2 linked regions of the Tamandua tetradactyla genome follow. The protein of the gene in region 1 interacts with the protein of each later gene in a biochemical or structural test. Links are inferred from orthologs where the notes say so. Each region holds a gene or a part of one and is shown on either strand. Other genes may lie near its edges. The genes, in order: FZD7 and DVL1.

Region 1 (9,164 bases):
AAAGCACCTGGAACTGTATAAATGATCATCATTAAATCATTAAAGGTACAATTTTTGATGCTCAAAATTATCTAAGGAGAACAAGTTCTGTAAATCTAGTGGTGTGCTGGAGATGCTTCTCAGAGGCTTCCAAATTCTAAATTCAAGGACTGTTATGAATTGAATAATGCCCCCCCAAAACAGGATACAGTCCTACTCTCACTTCTCAGAATGTGACCTTATTTGGAAATAGGAGATGGAATTAGGCAAGTTAAAACGAAGTGATACTGGAGTAGGATGGGCCCTTAATCCAACATATAATGTCTCCCTATAAAATGAGGACATTTGGACACAGATGGATAAAAGGGAGAATGCCATGTGACCACTGAGGCAGAGAACACCACAGATTGCGGGCAAGCCACTGCCAGGAGCCAGGAGAGAGGCAGGAATGGATTACTTCCTACAGACTTTAGAGGAAGTATGGCCCTGCCAACACCTTAATTTCAGACTTCTAACCTTCAGACTGTGAGACAATACATTTCTATTGTGTTAAGGCACCCAATTTGTGATACTTTGTGATGGCAGCCTTAGCAAACTAAGGCAGTGACATCACGTGGGTAGCTGGCAGTATTTACACCATGGAAATTGGCAAAGGTATACAGATCAGAGTTTTTTCCCCGGAGAGCTGGTTATTAAACATTTACCAGTATACCGCTTGTAAAAAATCACAACCTCAACAGAGAGCCAGAGCCATAAAATATACAGCTAACTTAGCTTTTTACTTTATCTCTGTGATGTGCATCCAAATAACCAAACCAGGATTCTGCCCTCATCACAAAGCATTTTGTAAACATTATCCCATTAATCCTCACAACATTCTGGGAGAGCTAGGGCGGTTAAGCGACTTGCCTGAGGCATCACAGGAAATCGATGGTGAAAGCAGAACTAAACCGGTCTGTACTAACCACCTCTGCAACCCTTCCTACACAACAGTACAGTACAGCATGGCACTGAAGACATGGATAACAAGTAATAACAGTGCTTTTATCACATAACCCAAATAGCCAAAGTCTCTTTCTACAGACTTATGGCCCAACATCCTGTCTTTTGAGTACAGTTTGACACTCCAGGATGGCCCACCCTCTGTACTTGGAGGTTTTTCTCCAGGGTTAGTAATGGTCTTTTATTAACCAACTTTCTCCACATTCTTTCTCTCTCTAGTCCGATGTTTAAAAAATAGGTGGCCAAAGTTAGGATTCTGTTTTCACTCTAACAGGTGCAAAGGGCATCGTAACCAGTCAACACTATGTTTTATTTGTGACCTTTTTTCTGGACTCCCCAAGGGCAGAGACTCCAGATTTGTTTCACTCTGTGGCCTCATCTCCATATTACTTTGGAAATGAATGAACAATATTTGCAGTAGGCAGTCTCTGAAATGGCTCCCGATGATCCTTGCCCTCCATGGGTTTTCACACCCTCCAGTGTGGGCAGACTTAGTGACTAGCTTCTAATGAGTAGAATAAAGCAGATATGACAAGATGTCACTTGAAAGACTAACTTACAAAAAGACTATAGCTTCCCTTCTTTTCTCTCTCTCTTTTTCTCTCTCAGCCCTTGCTCCACGGGAAGACAAATGCCTCTAGGACAGATCCACTCAGCAAGGAACTGATGTCTTTGGCCAACAGTTAGCAAGAACCTGAGGCCTGCCAACAACCCCATTATGAGTCTGGAGATGAATCCTCCTCCGACTGAGCTGTGAGGCAGTTACAACTATGACAAACACCATGACTACTGTCTTGTGAGAGACCCTAAGCCCGAAGACCCAGCTTAAGTGCACCCGTATTCCTGACACACAAATTTTGAGTTATAAATTGCTGTTTTAAGCTGTGATAAAAGAAAAGCTTTTTAACAACATGAAAATTAGGATCTTACAGCTTGAGATCTCATGAGCAACCCATGAATTAAGCAGCATCCCATCCAGAAAGTAGAGGGGAGTTCTGAACGGTAGTAGAAAGAGTAGGCTACTCTCTTTCTAGAAGAGAAGGAAGCTAGCAGTATAAATGACTCCACTGCCTTTCTCAAGAGATTATTCTTACATGGATAATGCCAAGCCAGAAGAGGGTTAGGACACACAAACTAACTGGAGATGGCAGACTATGATGGAGAGCTGAGGCTCACAGGAAACAGCAGTTAAGTTTCAGTTTACTGACATGGGGCTTTGCATGAGCAGCTCCATCTTGGTCCTATGTGCATTCTTTAAGAGCCGTTACGTTTTGGGACAGTTTGTTACATAGCAATAGATAATTAATACAACCCTTAACCAACAAGGGAGATAGTGGTCAGATTCAGTGACTAAATCTGTCATATAAGTCCTCTCTACAGGATGGGACTAACCACACCAAGTTTTAGCATGATCCTCTTCTTATTCAAGCTGGACATTTCTAAATCTCATGACATTTGAAAGTCAGTTTTAGAGACATGAATGTACCCATTTTTTTGTTTTGGAGCGAACCAGCACCCCAAACTAAAATGCACAGAAGCCAATGGCTACCTGGTAACTGGGAATTTCAAGTCCTCTATTTCATGATGTACAAATTGTTTAGTTAAAAGACAGACCAAAAAGGGAAGTATGTGCTAAAAGCTGCACATGAGTTAATTCTTGAAGCTGGAGTTTCTTTATAATCACAGTATTGTGGTGCCACAAAGATGGCCCATTTTCAAATCTGGCCTGACATTAGAATGGGTCATTCAACTAGATAAACCTGGGATCTGGCCAAAATACATAGCATTTAAAAATTTAAGCTAATCAATAGCATCACTTTTCTGTGGGACCACATGCCTATGGAATGAAGAAATAAGACTTTTGTTGTTTTGAAGGGCAGGTACAATTGGAAGTTTTGGATCAGACAGTTTCAAAATTTCCCACCCTCAGCTCTAAGATACCAGTTAGTGGCTTTGGGAACTGGGTGGGGAAGATGTTGCTCGGAAAACATTAAATTGGCCCTGGACAGAATGTAAACCGGCATTATTACATTTATCATAAGCTTAACGGTTATTTAATCCTCTATGCTGTGCACTTTTTCTGATTTGCTCCCTTTTATTACTTAGCTTCTTGAAATCATAGCATTCTTTAACAGTAAAGTGTAGAAGGCTACGGTATCCTTCTCACAAACAGCAATTTCTCATTTTCCAGAATAATTTTTGAATTTTTAAAATATCACCTTAAAAAAAAACCTAAAACATTCTCCAAAACGTTTGTCTTTGTTTCTCTGCTTTTGCAATTTATTGCCTAGGACACAGCAAGAGTTCTCACATCTGTGGCACTTTCCATCTGGGATCAGTTTTCTATATCCTTCTGCATAGATTGTTTTAAAAATATTTCATTCATTCCTTGTATTTTTTTTTAAAGGCTCTCTCTTTTTCTTTCCAAATTATCATCCCTATTACCTAACATCAGGGAACCGTCTGGAACTATAATATGAGGAGTAGAAGTTGTGTTTGAGACTCGGTATTTTTTCCTGTTGGTTTTCATCTTATTTGATAGTACTTGCTATTTCTTCCTCAATAAGCAAAGATGACTTAAATCAGCAGCCTGATGAATAAGTATGAAATTTGATTTAGAAAAGGAGGGTATCCTGAAGCTCACAGAGAAAAAGGAATTTCCAAAGCCCCATTCACTCTATCCCCCACCACACACATTTTAAATGACAAAACAAAACAACAGCATTGTCTTTAAGCACTATCTTTCAATGCAGTATCAATGCTTCCAGAGGTAAGGTAATTAAGGTAATAGGAATAATCATTTAGAAAGAAGGAGAGCTCTTAAAAACTGTACAAGGGAGGAATGAAACATTTCAAAGCAAATATTACTCCTTCCTATTACCTTGAGACAGATACACCAACAGGAAAAAAAAAAAATTACCAGCCCAGGCATGAGAGAGAAAGCTGAGGCCCAGGAGGAATAAAGATGTGGCTTTCCACTGAGGGCGGGAAGGAGGATGCAAGCAGTAGGACACCCCTACCTCTGCCCAAAGCTTTCCCGCCACTAGATGCATAAACAGGAGGGCGAGTGAAAAACCGCAAAGAACTGTGAAAGAAAGATTTTCAGTACATATCAATAATACAGAACACATAAAAGAAAAACAGAGAAACTCATAGTCTCCTATAGAAGAGAACCCAATTAATTGTCTTAGATTTCAAAATTGTGGTTTTTTACTTTTTCTTTTTTTCCTTCTTTCTGGAGAAAGCTTGGAAGCAGCAGCAGCAGCACCAGGGGCAGCAGAGGCAAGAACTTCTGCAATCCCTCAACCTGATCAGAAATCCCTGAGAGCTCCAGCACTGGAAACTGAGACTAGCAGAAAGGGCTCCGCCAAGAGTGAAGTGTTTTTGTTTGTTCGTTTTTTAAAGAATTGCTCTGTTTGTGTTTGTGTGTGTGTGAGAGAGAGAGAGAGAGAGAGAGAAATTGATTTTTCTTTTCCTTCTCAATTTGTCATTTTCCTGGATGGAAATTCACGATAATCCTCGCTAGAAGCCCCCAGGTAATTTGCGGCCTGGTCCTGAATAACTCGAGAGCGCGCGCGAGCTCCCAGCGCCTCGAGCTGGGCGAAGATTTGAGAACAAAAGAATGTTTGCCAATCAGAAAACGATACGAACGAAGATGACTCCTCTTTGTGTTTTGAAAACTCCTTAATTAGTAAATGGCCCTGGTTTCTAGTACACACTCAAACTTTTCTACGCAGTTTCCAAATGGAGAATCAAATAATTGCTTCTGCGACAAAAATGGGATCCTGAATGGTCTTACGCCGCAGAACTAAGGAAACAGGGCAACAGAAGTCGCGCTGTAAATCGTAGAGTGTTCTTGGGCTCTCGGTCTCGGGATACTTTCATAACCATTTATCCCACATACTAAAGCTTCCCCAGCTCCCCAGACGCAGGCCGCGCGCGCGGTCGGGGTGGCCCGGAGTCGAGGTATCCCGCGCCCCCTGCTCCTGGGTCCTCTCCCCTCGGAAGGGTCTGCATTTCCTCCCGCCTTAAGTCCGGCCGCTCCGCCCCATTCTGCTTTCTCCTCCGAGGCTGCTACCCCTCCTTTTTACAACTGGGGGGGGGGGGGCGTGAGAGGGCCTCACAGCCTCACGTGGTCTATTTGGGTCTAAGGAGAGAAAAGACCACAAGACGCACCCCTTTTCCCGCCCCGATCCGAATCCCTCACTTAGGATTCGGCTACTCGCTCTTCTGAGCTCGGGCAGGGCTAACGTGACTACAGGTCACGTCTCTCTTCGGTTGAGGCGCTGCGCTATTTTCAGCTTCTCCCCGCAAAAGCCTTTCCGAATGCACCCTTCTGTTCAGGAATGTGCATTTTGGTGTACCCAGAATAAGAACCTATCTTTCAAGCAAATTCCCTTTCTGGTGCGTTTTCCCCCCAGAGCGAATTCAGGGTACAAGTTTTTTCTAACTTTTCCGTCTCACCCCCTACCCCTCCCCTCAGGAATCCGCCCAAAGCTCTGCAGACTCCGCCGGCCCAATTCCCTTGCCCGCCCCTTCCGACTTCTACCCAATGCGGAGGCGGCAATAGAGAAAACAAAGGCCATCATTGGGCCACCCTGGGGCTCGGGTCCGCCCCCGGAGTGGTTTGTGAATGGGGGGAGGGGAAGGGGCGGGGCGGCCCGGGTCTCTCCAAGCCCAACGCCTCTTCTGCGGAGTTGCGCGGCTCCGAGGCGTTACTCGACACTCTCTCCTGGGGCGCGGGGTGGCGGCTGCTGAAGCCAGGACTCGCGAGCTAGGGTTCTGCGGGACTGGAGAGGCTGGGCCCAGACTGCGAGGTCTCTCAGCAGTGTAACTGGATTTCCAAAAAGAACTCGCTGAGTTCTTGGCTGAAAGGCGCAGATCGGACTCACAGCGAAAATAAGGCGCTTGGCTGAAACTTGGGCCCGAGCTTTTGGGGCTGAAGAAGAAACGGGGAGTGGAGGAGGAGGCGGCGAGCAGAGCCTCGAGGCGAGGGGGCGGAGCAGTACCGCCGAGGCTGCAGCCGGGGCTACCAGGCGGCGGCGCCGGGCTCTCGCTTGGCGAGGGACAGACTTGGTGTGGGGGGCGTGCGCATTATTGTGCACTGGGGGTCGAGAGACTTGGGCAAACTTTGAAAGACAACCGGAGACGCTTGTTGCTCCTTGTCTCAGAGAAAGGCGCACCGTTACGTCTTGGCCGGGAGGGGAAAACTGTTCCCCTCCGCGCCCCTGGCTCCAGCGGACGAGTTTTGGGGCCCCGGAGGCGGCGTGAGTCGGTGGAGGCGGTTGCGGCGCCCGGGTGGCTGGCGATCTCGCCTCCGCCGCGCAGACAACGAGGCGGCAGCGCCCTTGCCTCCACGCTGCCCACAGCCGGGCCCCGGCGCCGGGAGGACTCTCATGCGCCCGGCGCGGCGGCGCCTCTCGGGATCCAAGCCTGTCTCAGCCGCCTAGTCGCGCTCCTTGGGCTGAGAGCGTCGCTGCTCCAGCTGCCGGAGATGCGGGGTCCCGGCGCGGCGGCGTCCTGCTCATCCCTGGGTCTGTGCGCCCTGGTGCTGGCACTGGTGGGCGCGTTGCCCGCGGGCGCCGGGGCGCAACCGTACCATGGCGAGAAGGGCATCTCGGTGCCGGACCACGGCTTCTGCCAGCCCATCTCCATCCCGCTGTGCACGGATATCGCCTACAACCAGACCATCCTGCCCAACCTGCTAGGTCACACGAATCAAGAGGACGCGGGCCTTGAGGTGCACCAGTTCTACCCTCTGGTGAAGGTGCAGTGCTCGCCCGAGTTGCGCTTCTTCCTATGCTCCATGTACGCGCCTGTGTGCACCGTGCTGGAGCAGGCCATCCCGCCGTGCCGCTCCTTGTGCGAGCGCGCCCGCCAGGGCTGTGAGGCGCTCATGAACAAGTTCGGCTTCCAGTGGCCGGAGAGGCTGCGCTGCGAGAACTTCCCGGTGCACGGAGCCGGCGAGATCTGCGTGGGCCAAAACACCTCCGACGGCTCGGGAGGCCCCGGCGGCGGCCCCACAGCCTACCCCACCGCGCCCTACCTGCCGGATTTACCCTTCACTGCGCTGCCCCCGGGGGGCGCAGACGGCAGGGACCGCTTGGGTTTCCCCTTCTCGTGTCCCCGCCAGCTCAAGGTGCCCCCTTATCTGGGATACCGCTTCCTGGGCGAGCGCGACTGCGGCGCCCCGTGCGAGCCGGGTCGAGCAAACGGCCTCATGTACTTTAAGGAGGAGGAGAGGCGCTTCGCCCGCCTCTGGGTGGGCGTGTGGTCGGTCCTGTGCTGCGCCTCGACGCTCTTCACCGTGCTCACCTACCTGGTGGACATGCGGCGCTTCAGCTACCCTGAGCGGCCCATCATCTTCCTGTCGGGCTGCTACTTCATGGTGGCGGTGGCGCACGTGGCCGGCTTCCTGCTGGAGGACCGCGCTGTGTGCGTGGAGCGCTTCTCGGACGATGGCTACCGCACGGTGGCGCAGGGCACCAAGAAGGAGGGCTGCACCATTCTCTTCATGGTGCTCTACTTCTTCGGCATGGCCAGCTCCATCTGGTGGGTCATCCTGTCGCTCACCTGGTTCCTGGCGGCCGGCATGAAGTGGGGCCATGAAGCCATCGAGGCCAACTCGCAGTACTTCCACCTGGCCGCGTGGGCCGTGCCCGCCGTCAAGACCATCACTATCCTGGCCATGGGCCAGGTGGACGGGGACCTGCTCAGCGGGGTGTGCTACGTGGGCCTGTCGAGCGTGGACGCACTGCGGGGCTTCGTGCTGGCACCCCTGTTTGTCTACCTCTTCATCGGTACGTCCTTCTTGCTGGCGGGCTTCGTGTCTCTCTTCCGCATCCGCACCATCATGAAGCACGACGGCACCAAGACCGAGAAGCTGGAGAAGCTGATGGTGCGCATCGGCGTCTTCAGCGTGCTCTACACGGTGCCAGCTACCATCGTGCTGGCTTGCTACTTCTACGAGCAGGCCTTCCGCGAGCATTGGGAGCGCACCTGGCTCCTGCAGACGTGCAAGAGCTACGCGGTGCCGTGTCCTCCCGGCCACTTCCCGCCCATGAGCCCCGACTTCACCGTCTTCATGATCAAGTACCTGATGACCATGATCGTAGGGATCACCACCGGTTTCTGGATCTGGTCCGGCAAGACCCTGCAGTCGTGGCGCCGCTTCTACCACAGGTTCAGCCACAGCAGCAAGGGGGAGACTGCGGTATGAGCCCCGGCAGCTCCCGGAGTGAGCCCCCACCCCCTTGCAAGGGGGAGAGACGCGGTAGGGAAACAAATAATGAGGGGGGAGCGTTTCTGTAACCTCCCACCCTCCGCTGAGAGAAGTGACCTGGAGGAGAGAAGTTTGGAGATTTGAGGCGAGGGGTGGGTTTGGAAAGGAGGCCTGGGTGAAAAGACTTCTGGCAAAGACTTGCAGGATAATACTAAATAATGAGAGTCTTAATTAGGTAAGGTATGGGCAGACTTGGGCCTATCGAGACAGTTGAGACCAACAGAGACTGCCCTACTTTCCTCCTGGTTCAGGGGCTGAACTGGGGCTGTGAGCGATTCCTCTGCTGTAAGGAAAGTGGCCTGTCTCCACTCCTGTGAGGCCCTGGTGAAAGGTACAGCGCTGTCTGCAGCGGCCGCTTTGTTGGGGACAGGGAGGACTCCCCGCGGTGTTCTTGTCAAGCGGTGGTCAAACCATAATCTCTTTTCACTGGGGCCAAACTGGAGCCCAGATGGGTTAATTTCCAGGGTCAGACATTACAGTGTCTCCTCCCTTACCCCCCTCTGGCCTGTTTTTCCTCCTCTTCTCCTTTCAAGTCTTATAAGCATTGGCAAGTCTAGGGAGGCATGCCTCCTAGAATCCTAATGTGAAGATGCAAAAGAAATAGTGATAACATTTCTAGATGAGGCTAAGGAAAGGAGTAGTAGGTATTTCTGCTGCTTTTTAATTTTCTGGGAAGGCAGGAGAAAGAAAGAAGTGTGTTTTGTTTGGTTTCATACCCTGAAAAGAAGTGATGACTTGTTGCTTTTTCTAAACAGGAATGCATTTTTTACCCTTGTCTTTGTTGTAAGAGACAAAAGAGGAAACAAAAGTGTCTCCCTGTGGAAAGGTGTAACTGTGAAAGACAGCAACTCTTACAGGCAAAGTAGCGCAAATCGGAGGTTTCCCTTTGGATGTTAATTTG
Region 2 (9,084 bases), on another chromosome or scaffold:
CGCCCTCCGCCTTCCACGACGGCAACTTCTCGCTGCTCATCCGCGGTACGGGGGCCTGGGACGCAGGGCCCCGGGGACCAGCGGATTCCGGTCGCGGGCGGGTGCCGAGCACCGCATGGCGGGCTTACGTCGCGGGTTTTCTCCCGGGTCTGCAGCGGTGGAGGAGACGGACGAGGGGCTGTACACCTGCAACCTGCACCACCATTACTGCCACCTCTACGAGAGCCTAGCCATCCGCCTCGAGGTCACCGACGACCGTGAGCGTGCCCGCCCCTCTTCCCCGTGCCCACCCGCCCCCGCCGCCCTGGAGGCTGCCCGGCCTCGACCGTGACCTCCCCGCCACTCCCTGCAGCCCTGGCCGCCGGCGCGCGCTGGGACGGCGAGAAGGAGGTCCTGGCGGTGCAGCGCGGCGCATCGGCGCTTCTGACCTGCGTGAACCGTGCACACGTGTGGACCGACCGGCACGTGGAGGAGGCGCAGCAGGTGGCGCACTGGGACCGGCAGCCGCCGGGGGTGCCGCACGACCGCGCCGACCGCCTGCTCGACCTGTACGCGTCCGGCGAGCGCCGCGCCTACGGGCCGCCCCTCCTGCACGCGCGCATGGCGGTGGGCGCCGACGCCTTCGCGCGCGGCGACTTCTCGCTGCACATCGACCCTCTGGAGCCAGCGGACGAGGGCACCTACTCCTGCCACCTGCATCACCACTACTGCGGCCTGCACGAGCGCCGCGTCTTCCACCTGAGCGTCGCCCAGCCCGCCGCCGACCCGCCGCCGCGGACCCGGCCCGGCAACGGCTCCAGCCACAGCGGCGCCTCGGGCCCAGGTACGGTGCCGCTCTGGGGACCCTGGGCCTGGGGCCGGGCACCCGGGACGCCGGTCTGGAGGGGCGGCTCCGGGTCCCGCTCCCCGGCCTCGGAGCCGGCCCGTCGGGGGCCTCAGGAGGGCGTCCCGCCGCGGCCGCCCCTGACGCAGCCCCTGCTCCGCCCCGCAGACCCCACCCTGGCGCGCGGCCGCAGCGTCATCAACGTTATCGTGCCAGAGGGTCGGGCCCACTTCTTCCAGCAGCTAGGCTACGTGCTGGCCACGCTGCTGCTCTTTATCCTGCTGCTCATCACCGTCGCCCTGGCCACCCGCAGGCGCCGCCGTGGAGGTGAGGGCCAGGCCCGGGGGCGAGGGTCGGGTCCCCGGGGGTGAGGGTCGGGCCCCCGGAGGTGAAGGTCGGGTCCCCGGAGGTGAAGGTCTGGCGCCCGGGAGCGAGGGTCGGGCGCCCGGAGGTGAAGGTCAGGTGTCCGGAGGTGAGGGTGGGGCCCTGGGGGTGAGGGCTGGGCACTGGGGGGGTGAGGGCTGCCCTGCAGAGGTGAGGGCTGGGCACCGCACCCAACTCCGGAGCGCAGGGACTGCTCACAGCAGAGACTGAGGGTAGAAAGAGGGAGGACGTGCCGTCCAGAGGTGGGTCTTGGGGCACTGCAACCCTTGTGTTCACTGGTGGGCGGCTGGGAGCTCCCTGGGTTAGATGAGAGGGCTGCTAGGAGTGTGTGTGTGTGACTGTCCCCAACCTGTCTCCCTCCCCAGGCTATGAATACACAGAGAAGTCAGGGAAGTCCAAGGGGTGAGTGCGCGTGCGACCTCTGGGCTGGCCCTGGGACCAGATCCTCTTCCATCCCCACCACTCTCACCTCCCCCCACGGTTCTCTCTTCCAGGAAGGATGTGAACCTGGCCGAGCTGGCTGTGGCCACCGGGGACCAGGGTTTTTACAGGAGTGAGGAGATTCAACTGGGTGAGGGTGGGCCGCAGGGCTCTCAGGCTCGGGTGTTAGAGGCCCTTCTCGGGGTAGGTGGGGGTCTCACACTGCTTCTGTCCCCACACCAGATTACAAAAACAACATCCTGAAGGAGAGGGCTGAGCTGGCCCATGGCCCCCTGCCCGCCAAGCACATTGACTTGGACAAAGGTGAGTGGCTGTAGGGGGCCCCTCCCTGCCTGTCCCTTCCATTTCCAAGTCCAGATGCAGCCCCACTCCACCCCTTCCCAGGGCTCCCTGAAATCACCACACTCAACCAGCCGCATGGTCAGGAGACCCCTGTCACCGCTGTGCTCCAGGCTTGGGGAAGTCCTGCTGAGTATCTGCCCTGAGTAATCCACTGAGAGGGAGGCGGAAAGAGCAGATCCCAGCCTGTGTTCCCTTGATTTGCAGAGTTCAGGAAGGAATACTGCAAATAAGTGATCCTAGGCTCCTGGCTGGGCCAGAAGCTCTGCCAACTTCTCTCTGTCCACCTCAGAGGACGTTCTACCAACCCTCAGGTGCTTGGTGCCACCTGGATCCCCTCCAGCGGCTGGTCCCGCTTTCCTGGAACTCGGCCTGGACTGTTGCAGAGTGGGGCTACCTTCAGACCCCTTTCCAGTAGACCCACTAATCCTTTTAAGCAGGGGTGGGCTCCCTGAGACTCTCAGCCAGCATGTGGCTACTGCCCCTTCAGCCAGCCCTTGCTGGCTCCTGTGCTCACTGGTGGCCCTGCCCTGCCCCCTGGCCAACTTCCTTGGCACAGTCGAGACTCTGCCAGTGTTCACCAGGCCCTCTGCCCTCCTGGCCTCTGCTTGCAGGGGGCTGGGAAGCCTGCCTCCCCAGGGCTGTGGCAGGAAAGGCGCTCTTGGAGGGGCTCAGCAGAGATTGCAGGGGGTCAGCCCCAGGGCTAGCACCCTAAGCTCCTGCAGGAGAGCTGCCTGCTGCAGCCTGAGGTTGTGAGGATGCCTTGAGACTGGGTTACTCCAAACCCCAGCTGGGCTGCACCCTGCCCTGCACGAGGTCTGAGGACCAGCACTCTCCAGGCCCAGGGCTAAGGCCCCTCTGTGCTGCTCTGGGCCAGCTGGGGCTGCCCTGTTGCCCCTTCCTTTGCTTTCAGCGTGACTCAGCCCTGTTTCCAGTGAGCTGCCTCGACAGTCACCCGATTCTGTATGACTTTTGACCCTGACCATGTCCCTGCACCTCCCTGGGCTGGCGTCTGGGGCTGGGGCCACATTGGCTTCTGCTTTTGGTTGAGGACAGGGGAGGGGTGAAGATGGTTCTGGGGTGGCACCTGTCACCACGCCCAGCGCTCCACGTTTGCTTCTGGAGAACTGCCGCTGTCACAATAAAGTCCACGTCTGGTTTCAGAGCCTGGTCCCAGGTGGGCCTTGCAGCTGCCCCTCTGTCTCCTGTGGGCCGAACCTCAGCACCTTCACCTGCACTGTCACCCCGAGCCCTGGAGCAGAGGGTTTGGGTCTGGCTAGTGTTCAGAACACTGGGAACAGCGACACTGGAGACAGATTCTCGCACAAGGGCTTATTTGCACATGGGGGAGGGGAACATTGTGGTAGGATGAGGGCAGCTGCATGAGTACAAGTCCTCCAAACACACGCTGAGATGAGATGTGCAAGGAGGCAGAGGCAGGAGCAGGCAAGATCTTCACAGCGGGAAGCTGGACTGTCACCTGGGAGAGACAGGTGGGGAGGTGGTGTAAGCGGGAGGAGACCCAGCCTGCAGCGGCCCCCGGCAAAAAGCCAGCTGTTTGGATGTGGCCTTTGTGACTTATCACCTTCATTCTCTCTCCCAGGAGAGCAGGGGCTGGGGAAGGGTGACCGCACAATAGCAAAGGTGGGCAGGAAAGGGAGCTACGGTTCGTTGGACGAGGCAGCTCCCCCCAGCCCATGGTGACCTTGGGCTCACCATGGCTGCACTGTGGCCGGATGAGGGCCGCCCCGCAGGGCCCCTCCCCACTAATGCCCCCAGGGCTCCGCTGCCAGCCTCTCCAGCTGCCTCATGACTTGGGCTGAGGGTAAGGTAGGAGAGGAAGGCCTCAGGGACTGGAGGACAGAGACCCCTCCTCTGGTTGTATGCTGCTGGCTCCCCCTGACCGGCCACAGCCGGGCTGTCCTGGAGGGTGCCATCCCCCAGGGGGCATCAAGGCCATCTTCTTTCTTCCTGGGGAACCCAGCAGACAGTCATGGCAGACTCCCCAGCAGTCACGCTGCATGGCTTCCTCGGTCTACCACTGGGGAAACCGAGTCCTCAGGTGCCAAGCTGGCAGAGGCCGCCTCCAGCAGAGCCCTGCCCACTCACTCCATCACAGCTGAGAGCCACGGGAGTCGGGACCCTAACCTAGGCTGCCCTGGGGGTGTTCCCAGCCTAACCACTCAGGCCACAGTTGGACTGCTGGGGTCTTTCCCCAGAGTGCCCCAGCCTCCAGGCGGGGTGGGGATGGGGCAAGGCTGGTCTGGGTGGTCACCAGGGGTGATCAGCATCGCATGCTCTGCCCGCGGCCTGGGGTCTTCCTCCTGCCTGGCCAGCCTAGGACGCCCCTAGTGGCCTCGCGGCCTCCCTTCCCAGCGTCCGCCAAACATCTGTGCCCAAGTGGGAGAGGGCGCTCCCCTGCTAGCGCTGAGCCCCGCTGTCCCCTCCAGCGGCCACCCAGACACGCGCTCACAAAGGCAGCAAGCGTCCCCGCAGGCGCCCGCGACCACTCTGGGCCTAGGCTTCTCAGATCTCCCGTGGGACCAGACAGAAGACGCGGGAGCGCGGAGCGGGCATGGGGCGAGAGGTGACCGAGGACCCTAACCCCAGCCGGGGCGCAGGACATCCTCGGCCTCACGCCCGGCCCTGCAGCCGGCCCCGGTGCCCCGGGCGCTTCCGGGCTCTGAGCGCCCACGGACGCTGGGAGTCCTCGGGAGGGGAGGAGGGTCGAGACCTCCGACCAGGCGATTTCGCGGCGACTCCCCAAGCTCCCGGCGGCGGGGACTCCCTTCTGACAGCTGGGGCGGGGGCGGAGCCAGTCGAGGCCCCGCCCACCGGCCCAACCCGGCGAGGCCCGCGCGGAGAGTCGGGCCAGCGAGTGCGCGCGCGTCCCGGGAGAGGGGCGGGGCCGGTGAGCACACCCCACCCCTGCCAGCCCCGCGCCTGCGCAGCCCCTCCCCCGCGGGCTCGGTGACGTCGTCCCCCCCACCCACCCTCAGCGCTCTCGGGCGCCCCCGGCGGCTCCCGCTCGGGCCTCGGGCCGGCCCTTTAACTGCGCGCGGCCCGAGGGGGCGGCGGCGGCGGCGGCGCGGGGCGGGGCGCGCGGGGCGGGCGCGGCAGCCGGACGCACGGACGCGCGGGGGGCGGCCCGACGGGCGAGCGCGCCCCTCCCGCTGCTCCCCTCGCGCCCGCGGCCCCGGCGGCCGGGGGCGGATGGGCGGGCGCGGGCCGCGGGGCAGCAGCCGGGGCCGGAGCGGGAGCCGGGGCCGCGGGCCGGGCCGGGGCGGCCGGGCGGGGCCGGGAGGAGGCGGCGCGGCGGGCGGGCGGGCGGGGCGCAGGCCGGCGGGGGGGCGCGCCCCGAGCCCCGGGCCGCGGCATGGCGGAGACCAAGATCATCTACCACCTGGATGAGGAGGAGACGCCGTACCTGGTCAAGCTGCCCGTGGCCCCCGAGCGCGTCACGCTGGCCGACTTCAAGAACGTGCTCAGCAACCGGCCGGTGCACGCCTACAAATTCTTCTTCAAGTCCATGGACCAGGACTTCGGGTCAGTCCCCGCGCGGCCGCTCTTCCGGGGTCGGGGGCGGCGCGCATCGCGGCACCTGTCTGCGCCGCGCAGGGCCGCGGGCTCTGGGGCCTGTGCGCTGCCCCAGCGCCCCGGGTCCCGGCCTGCTGCCCCTGCTGCCGGCCACTCTGCGGGTGCCCACCTGCCTGTGCCTAGGAGCCTGGCAGCTCCAGACCGGGGCCGGGGGAGGGTCCCTGCCTCCCCATCGTGGTGTGCCCCCGCGCACCTGACCTACTGTCAGGCCTGTGGCCCAGGAGCAGCCTCTCCGCAGCCCGGCCCTGTCTAGGCCCAGGCTCGGGGCTGGGGGGGGGCGGAGCTGCAGGGCTGGCCTGCAGGGTGTGTGGTTCACAGAGGTGGGTTGGGGTGTCAGGGTGGAGGGACCTTGGGGTGGGGACAGAGACTGGTCAGGGTAGGAAAGCAGGGTGGGCCAGGACAGGGGTCTGTCTTTTGGGGTCTACAGAAGTTTCCAGGGGCCTGACAGGCAAGAGTCACTGGGAACCCGGGTGTCAGTCTGTCCACTCCTGCCCTGGGGTTCCTGGCTGTAGGGCCTCTGTCCCTGCTGAGCCACCTGGGGCACCTGCGGGCCTGGGCAGCACCTGGTCTCGGCCTGACTGTCCTGGGCAAGGGGACCTGTGCACTGCACAGGGCTGGGTGGCCAGGATGGTGAGCAGGAGGCTGGCTGGCTACCGAGGCCTGACCCAGCACGGCTCGTAACCCGAGTCCCAGTGCGGGGAGGGCGGGGTGGCTCTCACTGGCCTTGCTGGCTGGAGCAGGTGCACCCTGGCCACCCTCAGGCGAGCCTGTGCCCTTGTGTGCCTCCGTGTCCTGGGTCTTTGACATTGAAGCTGTTTTCTGGACTCTGGTTTGCACGTGCAGGCCCAGGTCAGGCCAGGCCCAGGCCCGGGGCAGCTCTCAGGACTGGGGGGCAAGGAGAGCGGGGGTGGGGCACCCCTGGCCGCCTCTGAAGGCCGAGTGCCCCCAGGTCTTCCTGGCTGGGGTTCCTTGGGATGGGGTGGGGAGAGGGGGGCTGTAGGGATGGGGAGGGGCAGGAGGCGAGCCTGTGGCAGGCTGGCCTGGAGGTTCCAGGCGTAGGGGTTTGGTAGGTGGTTGTGCAGGGAGGGTGTCACCTTGGGGGAGGGTGATTGAGGCAGGGAGGGGAAGGGGCAGGGGGCTTGGGGGCTTAGGGACGCCAGTTACTGTGTTCGTGGGCACAGGTGTTTTGACGGCCACCTGTGTTCGTGGGGCTGCGGGGCAGGGGTTGAGTGCTTGGGCCGAGCGCTCCCTCTGCCCTCCCCAGCTGTGCCCGGCAGGTACCAAGAAGGGGATTCAGAGAGAGTCAGTTTGTGGTCTACGGGGTGGGATCCTGGGGTGGCCAGGCCAGTCAGGAGTGAGGAGTGGGTGCTGGCTAGCTGCAGGGAGCAGGCCATGCCAAGGCTCCGTGGGGGCTGAGGACCCCTGGGCTTGCCAAGGCAGTTCCTAGGTATGGGGTGGGGCTTGTGCAGGTAACTTCTGACGGGGGTGGGGGGCCAAAGAACCCCAGACTCATGTAGGCAGCGCCTGGAGGTGGGTGGAGTCTGAGAAGCCCTGGCATGCAGGGTGCTCTTTGAGAGCTGCGGGCCACCCCGTCCTCCCGCTTGCCAGCCTGTGTCCTGTCCTTCGCGGGCTGGACAAGCGGTGTGGTGGGGGGTCCTGGGCCTCTAGGGGCGCTGTTGGGGTGTCCCTCTGGGGTCTGGCCTGGGCTGAGCTGCTTCCAGGAGCAGTGCCTCAGCCTCCCAGAGCAGATTCCTGGCTGGGGCGGGGCTGTGGGGGTGGTGGGTGGGGCCACAGTCTAAGTCCCAGGTGACCGGGACCGTGCCAAGAATCGTGAGGCAGGTGGGGGGGGGCCCTTGCAGGGCACCTGTGGCCTATGGAGACGGAGTCCATTCCCCTGCCCAGAGGCCCAGCCCCACAGTGGCAGAGTTGGACGATGAGCCCCCACCTGTGGCCTCCTCCACCCCCAGATCTCGTTCCATCCTTGGAACTGTCAGCAAAGCTGTGCCTTGCTGGCTCCAATAGAGAGCCCTGTGTGGGACTCTGGCCTTTGGGCCCTCTTGGGGGCAGGGGCAAGCGCTGGCCACGGAGTTCCAGGCCATCTCTGCCACCTTCCTCCCGTTGTCTTGGCACCCTGTCACATCCTCTGGGCCTCACCAGGCGGGTCACTGGGGTGCCCACCATGCTGCGGCCTCTGGTGGCTGGCGGGGAAGTGGTCGTGCAGGGGGGTGATGACTCCAGAGAAGGGAGGGGTGGCCCACAGGGATGGGGTGAGCAGGCGCTGGGGGCGGGGTTGTCTCCAGGGAGGCTCGTGCTTAGCCCTCGGGGCCTCTGGTGTGCTCGCTGGGGGACCTGTTGTGGTTCAGCGGGAGCGGGGCGCTGGGTGGGCACCTGTGTCTTGCCAGGGGCCTTGTGGGGTTGACGGTTTGTGCCCGGGGGCTGGCCCAGCCCTGGGAGACAACTGGGGGCAGCCATGGGAGCCTGGGATGGTGCCTCCTTGCTGGCCTCTCTATTGCGTGTGCTTCAGGAGGGGCTGTGGCCCTTGTCCATCTGCCGCTGGTGTCCAGACCAGAGGTGCTTCCTGTCAGGTGTGCTCCCGGCCCTACCGGGCTCCCACTTCTCCACCAGACACAGTCCTGGGCGTGGACAATTGTGCTGGGCCCTGCATCCTATGCCTGGCCTCCCTCTTTTCTCGTTGGAGTGGCTCAGGCTCTCCCCCCAACAGCCCGCTGACACCCGCTGACACCCCTGATGGGGTGAGCGTCTAGATGGTGGCTTGTGCAGGTGGCTGGAGGGGTGCTGGCCCAGTTGGCTGTGTCCTGCCACCTCCAGGGTCGGGGGTACCCTCAGAGTGGGGACTGGCCCAGCGGGGGGGGGGGTGTGTGGTTTGCACCTGCTGCCCTGGTGGGAGGGTGGGTGCTGCCTCGGCCTGTGCCTGGGAGGGTCTGCTATGCACCCACACAGTTCTGGGGAACCGCTGGCACCCTCCTGGCACCTCAGGCCTGTGGGACACAGGGACATGGAGCCAGGCAGATGGACGCATCACGTGGTGCTGTGCTGTAGTGTTGAGTGGGGGTGCTGTTTGTTTTAGGGGTGTTTGAGTGCAGCCCTGAAGAAGAGGGAAGGAGGTGGGGACCAGCCCTGGCTGGGGGTGTGAGGGCCCTGCCAGGTGGGTGGTCTGAGTGCAGAGGGACATGGCAGGGTCGGACCTGGGTAGGGCAGGGAGCTGCTGAGAAGGACAGGTCTGGGGAGGGGGTGGGTTTGGGGTGTGGGACCTGAGGAGCTGAGCCTGACCCCTGAGCTCCCGGAGGGTGGGGCCTGTCAGAGAGGGGCAGTGGGTGTCCAGAGGCTTGGTGGGGTGGTGAGGTGCGCATTGGAGCCTCATGGGGGTCTGGGCAGGAGAGGAATCAGGAGCCATAAGGGGGGATGAGGCCCCAGTGGAGGCTGGCCAGGGCCACAGAGGCTTTCTGTCACCACCCAGCACCGGCTCTGCTGTCCATTCC

The links.
Region 2: the proteins of FZD7 (region 1) and DVL1 form a complex in vitro, tested with the Homo sapiens proteins (2 studies listed by BioGRID and IntAct, with this or other methods). The link is inferred for Tamandua tetradactyla from reciprocal best matches to the Homo sapiens genes FZD7 and DVL1.

What each region holds. Positions count from the first base shown.
Region 1 is NC_135329.1:176,688,401-176,697,564, forward strand, and holds the start of FZD7 (frizzled-7), read left to right. Parts: upstream 1-5,647; 5' UTR 5,648-6,475; coding exon 6,476-8,200; 3' UTR 8,201-9,164. UniProt on the Homo sapiens protein: Receptor for Wnt proteins.
Region 2 is NC_135328.1:223,548,354-223,557,437, forward strand, and holds the start of DVL1 (segment polarity protein dishevelled homolog DVL-1), read left to right. Parts: upstream 1-5,326; 5' UTR 5,327-5,363; coding exon 5,364-5,533; intron 5,534-9,084. Other genes in the region: MXRA8 (matrix remodeling-associated protein 8), read left to right, coding at 1-45, 156-257, 353-823, 992-1,150, 1,573-1,609, 1,702-1,778, 1,871-1,951, 2,195-2,220. UniProt on the Homo sapiens protein: Participates in Wnt signaling by binding to the cytoplasmic C-terminus of frizzled family members and transducing the Wnt signal to down-stream effectors. Plays a role both in canonical and non-canonical Wnt signaling.